Drosophila melanogaster: one gene and its partners. The protein of the gene in region 3 interacts with the protein of the main gene of each other region in a pairwise test. Each region holds a gene or a part of one and is shown on either strand. Other genes may lie near its edges.

Region 1 (5,415 bases), 9.1 Mb from region 3:
CCCGAAAGCGATTGGATTTATTTTGAATTTTATCAATATCAATGCTGGCATGGGAAGTTTCAGCAACAATATAATTTATATGCTTCTCCGCCCAGATGCTGCATTAAAATATATAAATAATTGCAATGTTTGGGTTAACCTCTTATCAATGGTTCATCTATAGTTAAAGAACACATTCCGTTTAAATCAACTGGCTGTCACTCAGAGTGGGCTATTCAGACCGCAGGAATTTTACAATTATATATTACAGCGCTCGTTAAATAATTAATAAGTGTAATATGAAACATATCAGAGCAGCTACATATGTACTGTGCCAAATATAATTACACTAATTAAATGAGCATGCAGAATTTAATATGGCCGTGTTCAAATGAACAGCTACAAGTGTAACACTTTTATCTACAAATATATAGAATATCTGCATGGAAATTCGATCTTTGTTGTAATTTAAAACCGTACGTTTTATACGAGTATGGTAAATGCAAACTCACCCGATAATAGTTGAAATTGACAAAATTTATGTTCAAAACATACCTTTATTTAGGAACGTTGCCACTTGGCAGCTTGAAAAATGTGCAGATACCGGAGGCACAGATGCAGATACAATGCAAACATTACTCAGCCGCATTGCTCGGCTACTAAACAATTTAAATGAAGATGTTCCCAATTGGATTCATGGTCAGGCGGCCGATGAGTTATTTATGCATACTTAAACACGCCTGGAAAATGCAAGGCGAAGAGCGCCTTCGGATATCTTGGCCATTTGGACACTTGGCCGTTTGGCTGTTTGGCTGCTAATTCGCAGCAGAAGCAATATTCGCACATTTATCGATTGCAAATCAATTTCGTGCAATTGCACATCTCACGTAATGTCGGCCCCTCTTGGCCAGGTCGAAACGCAGTGGCTCTGGCTCTGGATTTGGCTTTGGACTTCGATTTGGATTCGGAATCGGCTTGGGCTTGGGCTTTAACTGGCTGCAATGCATCGCTGCCGGATTACCCCTCGATTAATGCTGCTTGCATACAAATTGGCGCATTTACGTTCGCCTTCACCTGCTATATGGGAATCTCGGGGGGTCTTCCCTATCCACAAGATACAGATACAGATACAGATACAGATACAGATACAGATAGAGGTGCAGATACAGATATAGATACAGACACGCGCCTGCACTCGTTAGCCAGAAGCCTGAAGCCTGAGGCGTTTGCCTTCCTTTTGGCATTCGGCAGGCAGTTGGCCAAATTGCATAAACAAAATCGCGCAGCGAAATGAAAAGTGCGCCAAGTGCGAAATATAAATTACACCGCGAGCATTCGCATGCAAATTCCGATTCGGATTTCAATTCGAAAACATTGTCGCACGTTGAAAGTGGTAAGTGGCAAGTGGCAAGTGTCTTTCGGTGCAATCCTAATCAGCATGACTGGCCCAGTGCCAGTCACACTGCAAATCCCATCGCATCCCATCCCAGTTATCCCATTCCATTCCCTGGGTGCTGGATAGAAATGGCAACGAGGCGAGGTGACAACATAAGCAGACTTTTCGCGGGATTTGTCAAATATTTGCGCAACGCTGCGCTTATCCATCCAAAAAAAAGAAAAGCACTAAATCTCTGGAAAGGGAGATCCAAAACTGCAGCACCGAGTCCCAAAAACCCAGGAACCCAAAAAAAAACCCCCTACCCCGCTTGCCCACTTTTTTGTGTGCGCTTTCACGCCTCTTGGAAGGCGGGCAAACTTTTATTATTATTTCATTTTTTTTATGTTCGCCGCGCCTCGCAAGTTCAAAAAGTTTAATGCTATTTGACTTTGATTCAATGTTTGCATTGTGCCCGGGCACATCATCGATTATTTTCCACTTGACGCCCCACCACGTCAGCCCACTGAACATGGAACATGGAACACCAGAGCCACCAGAGCCATCCGCCCACGGATCCCGAAGCGAACTCCCAACGAATCCCCATCCGCATCCGAACTGGAATACCAGTTGTTTGTGGTGGACAAATGAAATATGTTTGGCCGCATCAAAAAGCCCTGGCACTGAAAATTGATAAATTGCGAATTAATTGAATCGCTATGACATGAAGTTTAGCACTATTTTCTCGTCTCGCCTCAATTAAAGAGTTGGCTGGGTTTTTCCTGCACAGATACTTAGATACTTTAATTGCATCCTTGAGGCCCATTTAATTGTGGCACACAAATCGATTTTTTAAACTCTGTTTCATTTCAGCACGATATGATGATATTCTCATGCATATTTCATTGAATGCATTTCATTGCCATTTAAATTTGGCCAACGAAAGTATTTGTTGTATAAAGGGCTTGGGGGCGTCCACTCTTTAAATTCTTTATGAACTTTAATTTCCAAATTACATCGCTTAATTGAGTTCGGATTTTAAATGGCTTGTAAAGCTGAGGCAAATTGCACATTTCTGCGCAGCTGAAATATGATTTACGTAATATAATAATATTTAATGCAACACATTTTTATTGCGACATTTCACTGAAATGCGTATCTTCTAAATATTTAAAATCCTCTTCTGGCCTTTTAGTCTCTTTTACAAAAGGTATGTATATTTTTGTATATTTTTGAGCATCAAGTAATTTCTTTTATAGCCAGCACAGAACAATTAGTCACGGATTTGTAAAACCAAATGTCACAGATAATATTATTTATTCTGCCAAATTAGTGAGCTGCTAAGTGGGAATTTAAATATTGATCGAACTGCTCTTGATCCAGTAATGAATGTTTTTCCCAATCTAATCAATTATTTTTTGGGTTTGGCCATATATAAAATACGAATGAATGCAAACTTGTTTGAAATACACAAAGACCACGGGAGTAATATAATAATCCAACTGGCGATTATCGATTCTTTGGCAGCCGTAACTCTTTTGCCATTGCAATGGCAAAACAATGAGTTATTTCCCAATTGCCGAGTGGGTTTGTTTGTGTATTAAATTTGGGAAATTCAATGAAATTTCACACATTTTTTCGTGAATGCCTGTGTGCTGGCAATTGGCTATGAGCTCTTCGTCGGCCCCTCCTGCACCTGCGGAGCGAATCCAACCCGTTTTGGGTATTTGGGTATATGGGTATTTTTTTTAGAAAGCCATCAACGCCAGCTACATTACCACCACCACTACCTACAGTGCCTAGCATATACGTAATGGCATATGTCATACGATTACCAGGTATACGGATAGCAGAGCAGATTGTCTATAATCCCATGTAATTCAAGACTCACCGATTTGCTGGCTGCACAGGCACAGATCCCACGGCCACGGATTGGATTGGAGTGGCTTTCCGCAAATTGCTGGCTAATTGGAGGGCTCGTGGATCTGCCAAAACGAATCTTGCTCGCTGGCATACAGGGATATATCTCTTGGTTTTCTATCTTTTTCAGTTGCCACTTTCGAAATATATAAAAATTCTCTAACCAAACGCGCTTTACAACTGCAGCACGCGCTGTTGCACAAGAGTAGCGAAAAGAGCGATGCCAAATTGGTTGCAACAGGTGGAAAAACTGGGAGCGCACCGCGATCCGAACCGAATCGGTTTTGTATATCCAGCGAATTGAGTCCCGAGTTTGAAAACTAACTTTTGAAGTCGATGCGAGCGTTACGCGTTCCAGAACCGCGCTGCCAGGCAGACGAAAACAGACTCAGCTCGATTGAGGCTCGCAAAAACCACAACACCTGACGGCGGCTTCTCAGTCCGTGGATCGGCGCCGTTCAGCGGCTCGATGGTGGTGCGCTTGGCATCTCAGCGGCTCAGCGGTTTGGTGGCTCAGCGGCTCAGCGCCTCAGCGACGGTGGCGTCGACTGCGACGGCGACTGCGGCGTTTTGTGGGCGGTAAGCCAAACTTAAAAAAAAAATCAAGTCAAATTGAGTGGCGCAGTTTGGACTGGCGATTGAAGTGTACACATGTACATAGTCGTACTAACTTGCCGCACCTGAGCATCGCTTTCGGACACTGCCAGTGTTATGATCCAATTTTATGGAGCCTCGTAAAGCCGAAGCATTTGAGATATATTTGCGGTATATGTACATCGGACTTCACTTAAGCGCTGGTCACTTGGGTTAAAATAGCGCCGGTTACTTAGCTTACAGCTTGCCATTCATCCTATTAAATGGAGCATTTTGAAGGTTCCAAAGCATCTTTAATAAACAATTAACAAAACGTGCTGGTAATCAAAGATTACGCCAGTATCTTTTACAATTGCCTTATTCAGTTGAGTTTCAAAATTGAATATTCCCATACCCAATGTATACTAGTAGTTATCATTCCAACGAAGATGACGAATACTCAAAATATTAGCAAAGATTTCGAGATGAACTGTAAATATTACTCATACGCAGCGTGTACATATATCATATATTATGAGGCTCCATATAATTGAATACATAGCGATTGAATTTTCGGATTATCATTATGATTGTTAAGAAGTGCAAAATGATTAACCGAAAATGTATTGGATTACTTTGCATTATATGTATGTTCTTTTATCTTGTATAAAAAATTCCGTTGTTAATTAAGTGATGATAGCATATGATTATCATGCTGACCCCAAGTTGTGTCTGGTAAATAAAGTGATTACTAGATGAGATCTCTGAAACCGTGCTGGCTAATTAAAGACATTCGGCGAACCTGGACCCTGTCTTTATAGTTTGATCTGTCTGACAGGGCTGAACCCACACGGACCTCCGGCTCAGCTGACTCATCCTCGAGTGCAGTGCACATCCGCTCCATCCCTATACGAATCCCAATCGAAAACCCAGCCCAATTGGTATTCCTGCTCCGTTCGCCCGGAGACGTCGTTCGACGTAGTTCGCTCATAAATTTTGCATTTGCTGTGTGATTTTCCTTTTTAGACGCGACAAGATTTCACTGATTTCGCATATATCCCAGCATTTATAATATATTCGCCTGGGCCGAGTATTCTAAGTCGAGTTCAGTACTGTTCAGCTGTTCGGCTGGTAATCGCAGTGCCGCCATCAATCACGTAGTTCCCAGCATGTTTTGTCGCCGATCCCATCTGTATCTGTATCTTGACGCAGTATCTTCTCACACCAGAGCCAAGCTCAAAGAGTCTATAAACTCGAATATCTCTCGCACAAACGCTGTACGAAAACGAAACAAAAGGCCCATTAATGACAAATGCGAAATAACGAAATTAAAATAATAATATTCGCGATCAAGACACTGCATATTAATGGTGGCCCCATCAAAAGACACTCAAGTGCACACTTTTCAGGTATGATCCGATCTTGTTCAGCTCTGTTCAAACACTTGACAATGACATGATTCGCTTTTGATGTATAATTACTTCACTTTCGAGGTACAACGGCCTGCAGATTGTTTGATGCCTTTATTTATGCTGTGTAATTGCTTTGAAATGCCTCTTTACTTATGC
Region 2 (4,226 bases), on a different chromosome or scaffold from region 3:
CACAAATTAAACCCGGATCAGGAACCTGGCCAGAAGCACTCGAATCAGCAATCGCTGGCTAAGCACTCCGGCGACCGTTCTCAACCTGAAGTTTTGTCCAGCTTAACTTGCAGCCAAAGTTTTTCGTTTTCTGGTAAGAGAGAAGTAAGCACAATTGGGTCAATACACAGCCAAATCGCTTGTACTTGAGCCGGTGAGATTTGTTGGCAACAGAAAGGGGGAAATGGCTAACAGAAATAGCTGAGAGAAAAAACTAAGGAAACAGCAAGGATACATAGTGAAACAACAAGAGCGACACAAATAATTCCCAAGTCCCAAGTCCTTGACTTTTTCAAGTTCAATTTCGCTTGGGGGGCTGGCTGCAACATTGCGATAATTGATGTCTCGACATTGTTAATTATCTCCTCAAAGATGTTGGAACGTAAATAATCAGCTCATCAGCCGCTTGCTTTGTGAATTTTATAACATCACCTGTGACATCTGATTGCCTGACCGAGCCAACACCAAGATATGTTCAATTATACTAATGATATTATTTCGACATTACGCATACGCAGTGTGTGCGTCTAATGGGTGGAAGCTCGTAAAATACAGAGCAAGCATTAAGATATTATTTGTGGGCTAGGTCTATTCAGTCGATGTCGAGTGCAATTATTTGCAGAATATTTAGTTCAGGGCAGGGTGCTCTTCACATTCAAAATATTCAGTCAGCCAGCCAGTGCCTTCGGGATATATTGTGCTGTATAATTTATCTAAACAGCACATTCCCGTCCGAAAATTTAAAGCCACAAAGTGTCAGACTTGACTTGCTGCGGCTGCTGCTGGCAATAAATCTTAAAGTTCATTAAAAAGTTTATTTATATTTCACCTGCTGTGTGCGAACGAAAGAAGTCTGGCAAGTGTCAAAGAAATAAAAGCTCGAATTGCCGACAAATCTTTGTTAAGCTTGACCTTGACTGATGGCCCCTCTCATAAGAAGTCGTTTTAAGATAAACCCCCAACGCACCGAAATAAATAACTTTTGTCTCGTTTAGTAGAAGCAATCAACTTCCTAAGCTGGTAATTTAAATAAAATGTGTCGTCATAAGTGTGCAATTTTAGTTTATTTATTAAAATTAGAGTTTTAATTCAAATTGTTATTTTAATTACAGCAATAGCATAAATATGTGAAATAAAAATCGTTGTACACTTTTATCAATGAATGCCATTCTCCACTTCGTTAATTAACACCAAAATAAATAGGGCCAGTGAATAATCGTAGGATTTTTTATATGCAACCCAAAATATGTGCATTCACTAGCTTCATTCAACTAAAAAGTGTTTCGCCATTGAAGAGTCAACCAGAACGCCATCAAAAGGAAGCGCTCCAATAAGTTTGAATAGCATCACAAATACACACGTCTACATGCACAAATGTATCTGCATGTGTTGCTGGAGATTGCGCGGCTTCGGCCTTGCTTTTGTAATTGTTAACAATAAAGGAGGCGGTCTAGTGTGGGGTGGGTTGTTTCATCCGGCTTTAATTAAGATCCAGCTGCTAGAATTCATGTATGACAAGTATTGGACTGCACGTAAGTTGATAGTGATATAACCAAGCTTAGCATATCACAATTCAAACAGGAGAACAGACAAATGAATAACTTTACATATGAATCTGCGAAAAGATAAGCTGGTTTATACTGCAAGGCAAATGAAAAATAATATTACAAACCCAATATTAATTATCTTCACCAACTCTGTGGAGTATATATAAAACAAACAGGCAAATGTAGACTGCGATGATAAAAAGTAAAAAGATCAAACTGATGTTTCGACAAGAAAACATAACTGGTGTATAAGTTTTAATTAAATCTAATTTGGGAAATAATTTTAAATAGTTTTCTTTAATATCTGCTGGCATACTTACTCTCGCTAAATGTAGAACAATTGCTTTCGCAGGCCAAGCTGCTTCAAATTAGTTGAAGTTCAATGGGTAATGAATTCCGCCATTTCCGTGGAAGTTTCTATATCGCCAGGAGCACTCAATCGCAACGGACGTCGTAGGAGGAGCACTCACCGAAGTCCGACTTGAGGGTGAAGTACATGCCCACACCGATGCCGATGACCATGATGAGGACTCCCAGCCAGTAGACCAGGCGCCAGAAGGGCCATGACGATGGTGGCTTCTTCTGGGGTCGGTCGGATCTCACCTCCTCCTCGTCAACTTCAACTCTTTGTGGTTGGCGGCGCAGCTTGTTTCCCATTTCCCTGGGCCTTTAACTTTCTGTACGAATTTGCTTCCCTTGGGCGATAATTGATTGGATTTTCCCTGGCAACTCGACAGCAACCGAATGATAACATTTTATTGAAATTACTTGAGCATCTCGTAGGCTGAGATTCATCTCCGATGGCGAAAACTTCTGGCTAATTATTTAAGTTAATTGGCCTTTGTCCGCAAAAGGCCTGCCCAAGCCATGATGATGATGATGGGGTGGTTAGCATTGGCCTGAAATATTTGCTCGGAGGCCACAAAATGTCTCGCAAATTTGTTCAAATTACTTGGAACACAAAACAAGAGTCGTCCGCCACTCCTCGAGATCCTTGCAGGCCCAAGTCCGTGCATAAATTTCAGAACAGGAGGTCCTGGGTGGAATACAAAAGGACTTTGTTTGCGGTCGAGAGATGAAAAGTCATTTCTCTCCATTATTTGCCAACTAATTGGTTGGTAGGACTTGTGCATTTATGTTGCTCAAATGTTTGCCCAAAGAATTCTGGAATTTGGTGAGGTGTCAAGTGGGTCTACCATCACCCTGACCTTTTGCCGTATCAATTAAATGGCCAGCTGGTCAACTGGCCAAATTGAGCAAATGAAGGATGCAACTTAATAATGGCATTCTCGTATATGCGCATATGTATGTACATATAATGCCACTTAAGCATGCCGTAGATCTCATTCTTGCCATGATTTAAGTGCATTTCGATCGGCTTTTCCAGCTTTTCCCCGTGGCTGTATCCTTTGGAGTGCTGGCGATGCCATTACTGCTTCAATTTCAGTTTCTGTTTGATGTTAATGAAAGTTTCCGTCGTGCAAATAAAGCCAAAAGCATGGAAATCAGTAAAACAAATTGCAATCTGCTTTTTATCGCACGTCGCTGCATGACTGCTGGCAGCCGGCATTTTCCTTGCTCCGTCATCGATTGCCTGGCTTTCCCCTCGACTTTTCCCTTTGCTGCTGGCCCGCCCGGCTATTGACTTGCTCATTATGGCCCTGATGATGACTGCTCTCTTGCCACAGCTACCGTTCGTTCGTGTATAGTATCTGTGTGCTTTGGTTCCGTTTCGTTTCGTTTTCAATTTTACTGCAAAAAAGGCATAGATCTCCTCATTCCGCACCCGCATTGGGGGTCGGCAATCAGGGCGGCATAAATTGTTAATATATCTTAACGGATATTCAATTTCCGTCAACCAAGAAATGCATTAAATTGGTAACAAAGCTTAGCCGCTACAACCGAACGATGGCAAAATTGTTAAGCTCCAGCGGGGTATTATTAAAAATTCAAAGTCGTTAGAGAATGGCAAAACTTTGTGCAGTCCGGGCCAAGACATAATAATAATATAGAGCCGGAGTGGAAGGACTGAAAAATAAAGAATGGCCAGGACAATGGGGAGACAACAGGCAAACTATGAACTGGGAAACTGAAAAACTGTGAGAGTGGGAAACTGGGAAACTGCAAGACTGCGAAGCTGAGATGCCGAGAAGCTCAACTATGCCCAACTTGGCTGTCCGACTGTTTATTTTCACTAGACTTCCTCTTTCCCTGGGCTTCGGCCTTATTACGCTTGGCGGCCCATCATCTGCATGGCCTTGGGGTGGGCGGTGGTGGCGATAAGTGGGCGGTGCAGATGGCAGGACGAGCAGGCAAGTTGTCAACTAAGTTTGCAACAATAATCGCCAACTTCACAGGACCTCGAATGACAGAGCTGAGGCAGCAGCAGCAGCAGCTTTCAGATAAAAACCAGAAAACAATAAGACTTTAGGCCGACTTTTATTCAGTCTTGCAAAGTTCTCCACCTCTGGCACTGCAGCGTTTACCCTCGAAAAAGCAAAGGTCCTCAAAAGGAGCAAACAGCAGCAAATAGGCTGTGCTGGCAAGGATCTCTTCAGACTTTCGAGACGTGGCACAAAGGAAAGATTGCTTTTGCTTTTTGTTTGCTCTCCGACTGGAGATTAAGAAGGATTCAAAGGG
Region 3 (4,037 bases):
TGTACTTTACTTTGTATCTTTGCTTTATTAATTTGTAATGCAATTATTATTATTTTTATTTTATAATAAAATTATGTATGATAAACTGTTGTGTATATAAAATATACATAAAAAGATAAATATGATTTTGCCCGAGAGGCATTTGTCTTTGTATTTTATTGTTTGTGAAGTTAATTTTACGAAATTGGCTAAAGAGTGGGTGCGCGTAGTGTATGTTAGAATGTGGATCTCTTATGAAATTGGTAATACCTAGCTCTTAATCACATACTGACCTCCTTAAATCAAATGATACTTAAGATATCTTCAGCTTTGTGGTATCTTCAAAACTCTACACTTTGTGCCACAAAACGAATACCTGAACACAAGCGATTTGTAGACAGCACTTATTATAAACCAAATGGCATAACTTCCAAGTCAAATACCTAACTACTTTATATCTCCATATAACTATTTTTCACGAGATGCTTCAGATGCAAACTAGCAATGACCAGATCTGGATTGAATAGAGCTTACTTACAGACCAAATCGATATATATTCCATGATATTTATAGAGATTAGTATGTTTATAAAGTTTTGTGAATAGGTTAGTAAGTGAGCTAATGCTGGAGACACACGAATATATTCTGCAAACATTTAAATAAAAAAGCTGAAAACCACAAGTTGGATAAATATTTCTATTGTTGTTCATAATGGTGGGATACAATGTAGAATTCGAATGTAGAGAGCAAGACAATTAAGTATGCAATACGGTTAGTAAGATATTTTATTCTACGAAACTCATATAAAACACACTAAGTATAATTGATACCATATATAATTAATTATAGGATGGGCTATCTTATGTTGCTCGTAACTAGGCAAACATCGAATGGTGGTAGAGTGCCGGTAATCTCCAAGAATCGTCGAAGGATGTGGCAATAGGTGTTTCCCATGGGCGGAGATTCAGTTCCTTCCGCCGGAATTCTAGCCACCTCGTCCGGAGTGTCCAGCTCCCTAACATAATCCATAAAGTTGTCCACATTGATGGGTGTCTCTGCCCTCGTCTTTGCTGGTTCCGTCTGCAACTTTCGCTGGAACTCACTTCTGTAGTAGTCGTTGATCATGGACATCATCCCCTTGGAATACCAGTAGATGATGCCAATCAAGAATAGGCCCTGCATGAATGGACCGACCATATTGTATGCTTCCACTTGATTTACTTATTTGTTCGATAGATCCTTTGGTTTCTACTGCTGATGCTCCTCGCGGAAGCTTTCAAGCCATTGATTAACCATGTAGAATTGCTCCTTGATGTGCGGCCAGGCCATGGTGACAATTAGCATTATGGTATTGGCGAAGACAAAGAGTTTCATCATTTCAAATGCTATTGGAAAGGGGTAATATTTATTAGTTAAATGAACTATATATTTTTAAGGAGCGAAAATTACAGACCCTCCGGAGTGCGAAGATAGTCGCCGAAGCCGGAATTTAGATCCTTGTCATCCTTCTCGTCCACCTTCTGCTCATGCTTATGCTTATCCTTCTCGTCTCGGCTCTTGCCCTTACCACCACCCTCGACTTTATCCTTGCCAGAGTGTCCTTTACCGTGCTTGTTCCTGCCGTATCCCGTGGATGAATTGGCAAAGGCCGATTTCTTCGGCTTCATTGCATCCAGATAGCAGCAGTTGGTCGGTCAGCCTGCACAGCACTGCATTTGATTGGAGTTGGTCCTGGAAGTGCTCTCCGCCTGGTGCTTCCTCGCCAACTGCTGCTCCGCAAATGACACAAACTTTGTGGTGCCAATTGGCGTGGCGCCGCTTCTGGCAATTTTATGGTTTCCATTTTATTGATTTGCGATTTCTGCTTGTCGCTCTGGCTGGGTGGGAATGGTGGGACAGGTGACCAAATAGAAATATGTTGTTAGTGGAGCAATGCGCTTGGATATTTAGCCGGGCATGTGTACTTATTATACCAGTCACACGAAATGTGTGTCAACTTGGTGGATGAAGGTGGTCGCCGGTAGGGTTGGTGTTTGTGGGTTTACATTGGTCCCAAATGGCTCTGGTTCCTGAAAGCTTATTTAAATATCATGCAAACCAGTTTTAATTTATTTAATGCCTTATTCTGCCAAATAGTTTATAATAGTTTTGCATTGATCTAATGTAAGCTTTACATTTTAAACAAACTACGTGTAGATGCCGAACTTTTGATTTATTCCCAAAAGTATGCAACCCAATATACATATTCGATTCGCGATAAGCGAATGTTTAATGAGCTAAATTCGAATACTGTTCGCGAATACTTGACACACACTACAACTAACTTATCAAATACGCCCAGACATATATTAAGTATACGTTATTACGTGAACGCAATAAGTTGCTGTCCCTTGTTTACCACAGCTCCGACCGGTGGCTGCTCCTTGTCCCGCGTGACCAGGCAACATGTGCCAAGGCCGCCCAGGATGACCAGCAGACAGAAGGCGGACAGGGAGAGGGCGGGGCTCACCTGCCTGAGCAGCGTGAGAAAAGAGGCGGAGAGCTGCCACACCCGCGCCCACGTGACGGCGGAGAAGGAGAGGCAACTACGCTGCTCCATTGGCACCAGTTCGCCCAGGCAGGCCAAAATCATGGACTGGGCGCAGGCTACGGCCGCCTGGGGAAGTGATGCCATTAGCAAGCCCAGCGTCAGTCCATACACCTCGGGCATATCCTCCTCGGCCAGGAACCAACAGATGCTACCGATGCAACCGACCACGATGGCAAATCCCCCCGCCCACTGCCACTTGCGTTCACTCAGGTTGAAGGTCAGGTGTAGGGCCAGGAAGCAGCCAAGCATCTCGGCCAGGCCCATGGCCAGTGTGTTGGACACCAGGTGCTCCCTGCCAAAGGACCGCACATGGAGCAGCAGCCCAGTGTTGACCACCATGAAGGTGGCAAGTGCCATGTGCACGGCCACCAAGTGGAAAGTACTCCTACGCTGGCCCATCCACAAGTGCATCCAATGCACGGCGGGCATTGGCTCCAGCATCCTTTCTCTCAGCTCCTCCAACTGCTGGGGTAACTCCTTGGACACTTTGTGCATTCTACCATTGGTACGGGCTGCTTCCAGCAGGATACCCACCGTTCGCTCGATGGCCAGTTGAGCTTCCTTGGTGTGTTGCAGCTGCCAGCGCGGTGAGTCCGGAGTCCAGGGTAGCAGAAAGACAATCACCAGCAAGGAAAGAGTTACGCCCAAGTATATGTGCTGCCAGCTGGGAGCATTGGAGGCCAAGCCAGGGAGCAGAATCAAGCCCAGAGCCCAGAAGCAGTCGTAAAGTATGAGGGTTCCTACGCGATATTTTCCCGCTGTTATGTCACCAACTGAAAAGTAGGTTATTTAATATTAAAGTATTCTTAAATATTCAATTTTACTTACATATATACTGCCCCGAGGTGATCATAAAACAGCACGAAACAGCAGCCAGGCATCGGAGTCCACAGTGCAGACTGAAGTCTTTGACAAGACCCATCAGTAGGCTGCACATGAGCAGGCACCAGATGCCAGTTCTATAAATCTGTCGGGGACTCAGGACCCGCATCAACTTGGTGGCCGCCACGCCACCGATTAGGAGGCCAAAGAGGTGCCAGTACTGAGACCAGGCCACAAAGAAGTCGCACAGACACACCAAATCGAACTCCATGGTCAGGGAGTGGAAACCCGTGGTGTAGAGGAACTTTCGACACTGGCGCATGGCGTAGGCGGACTCTCCGTAGTTAACCATCACATAGCAGTGGTCCAGCGAGACGGTGGAGTTGACATCCGGCCCGAAAGCCGTCGTATCACACTTGTACTCCTCCTCGGGGTACAGATCCGGCGCTGTGAACAGGATGCAGGCCATGAACCAGGCGGCTGGAATCTTGCAGAGAAATAGGATGAGCAGGGAGCGCAGTTGCCAGGGCCCAAAGTTCCCCATGATGTGTGTGATGACATCGTCATCGTTGTCATCTGCTAGATTATTTGCTTTCGGGTGTGGAGTTTGAGGAGATACCTCGTTGGCCTTCGGATCGGTGCAGGT

Evidence for each region.
Region 1: the proteins of Xport-B (region 3) and wat interact in a two-hybrid assay, tested with the Drosophila melanogaster proteins (one large-scale study listed by BioGRID).
Region 2: the proteins of Xport-B (region 3) and CG17580 interact in a two-hybrid assay, tested with the Drosophila melanogaster proteins (one large-scale study listed by BioGRID).

What each region holds. Positions count from the first base shown.
Region 1 is NT_033777.3:29,016,778-29,022,192, forward strand, and holds the start of wat (waterproof), read right to left. Parts: upstream 3,630-5,415; 5' UTR 3,246-3,629; intron 1-3,245. UniProt on the Drosophila melanogaster protein: Catalyzes the reduction of saturated fatty acyl-CoA to fatty alcohols. The preferred substrates are C24:0 and C26:0. Necessary for the final stages of tracheal maturation, to facilitate the transition from water-filled to gas-filled tubes.
Region 2 is NT_033778.4:12,804,715-12,808,940, reverse strand, and holds CG17580 (uncharacterized protein), read right to left. Parts: upstream 2,328-4,226; 5' UTR 2,244-2,327; coding exon 2,022-2,243; 3' UTR 1,907-2,021; intron 1,852-1,906; 3' UTR 1,712-1,851; intron 1,655-1,711; 3' UTR 1,130-1,654; downstream 1-1,129.
Region 3 is NT_033777.3:19,913,649-19,917,685, forward strand, and holds Xport-B (exit protein of rhodopsin and TRP B), read right to left. Parts: upstream 1,765-4,037; 5' UTR 1,647-1,764; coding exon of another isoform or gene 1,433-1,646; 5' UTR 1,429-1,432; intron 1,365-1,428; coding exon of another isoform or gene 1,228-1,364; 5' UTR 1,177-1,227; coding exon 835-1,176; 3' UTR 672-834; downstream 1-671. Other genes in the region: Xport-A (exit protein of rhodopsin and TRP A), read right to left, coding at 1,228-1,364, 1,433-1,646; CG4465 (uncharacterized protein), read right to left, coding at 2,342-3,342, 3,398-4,037.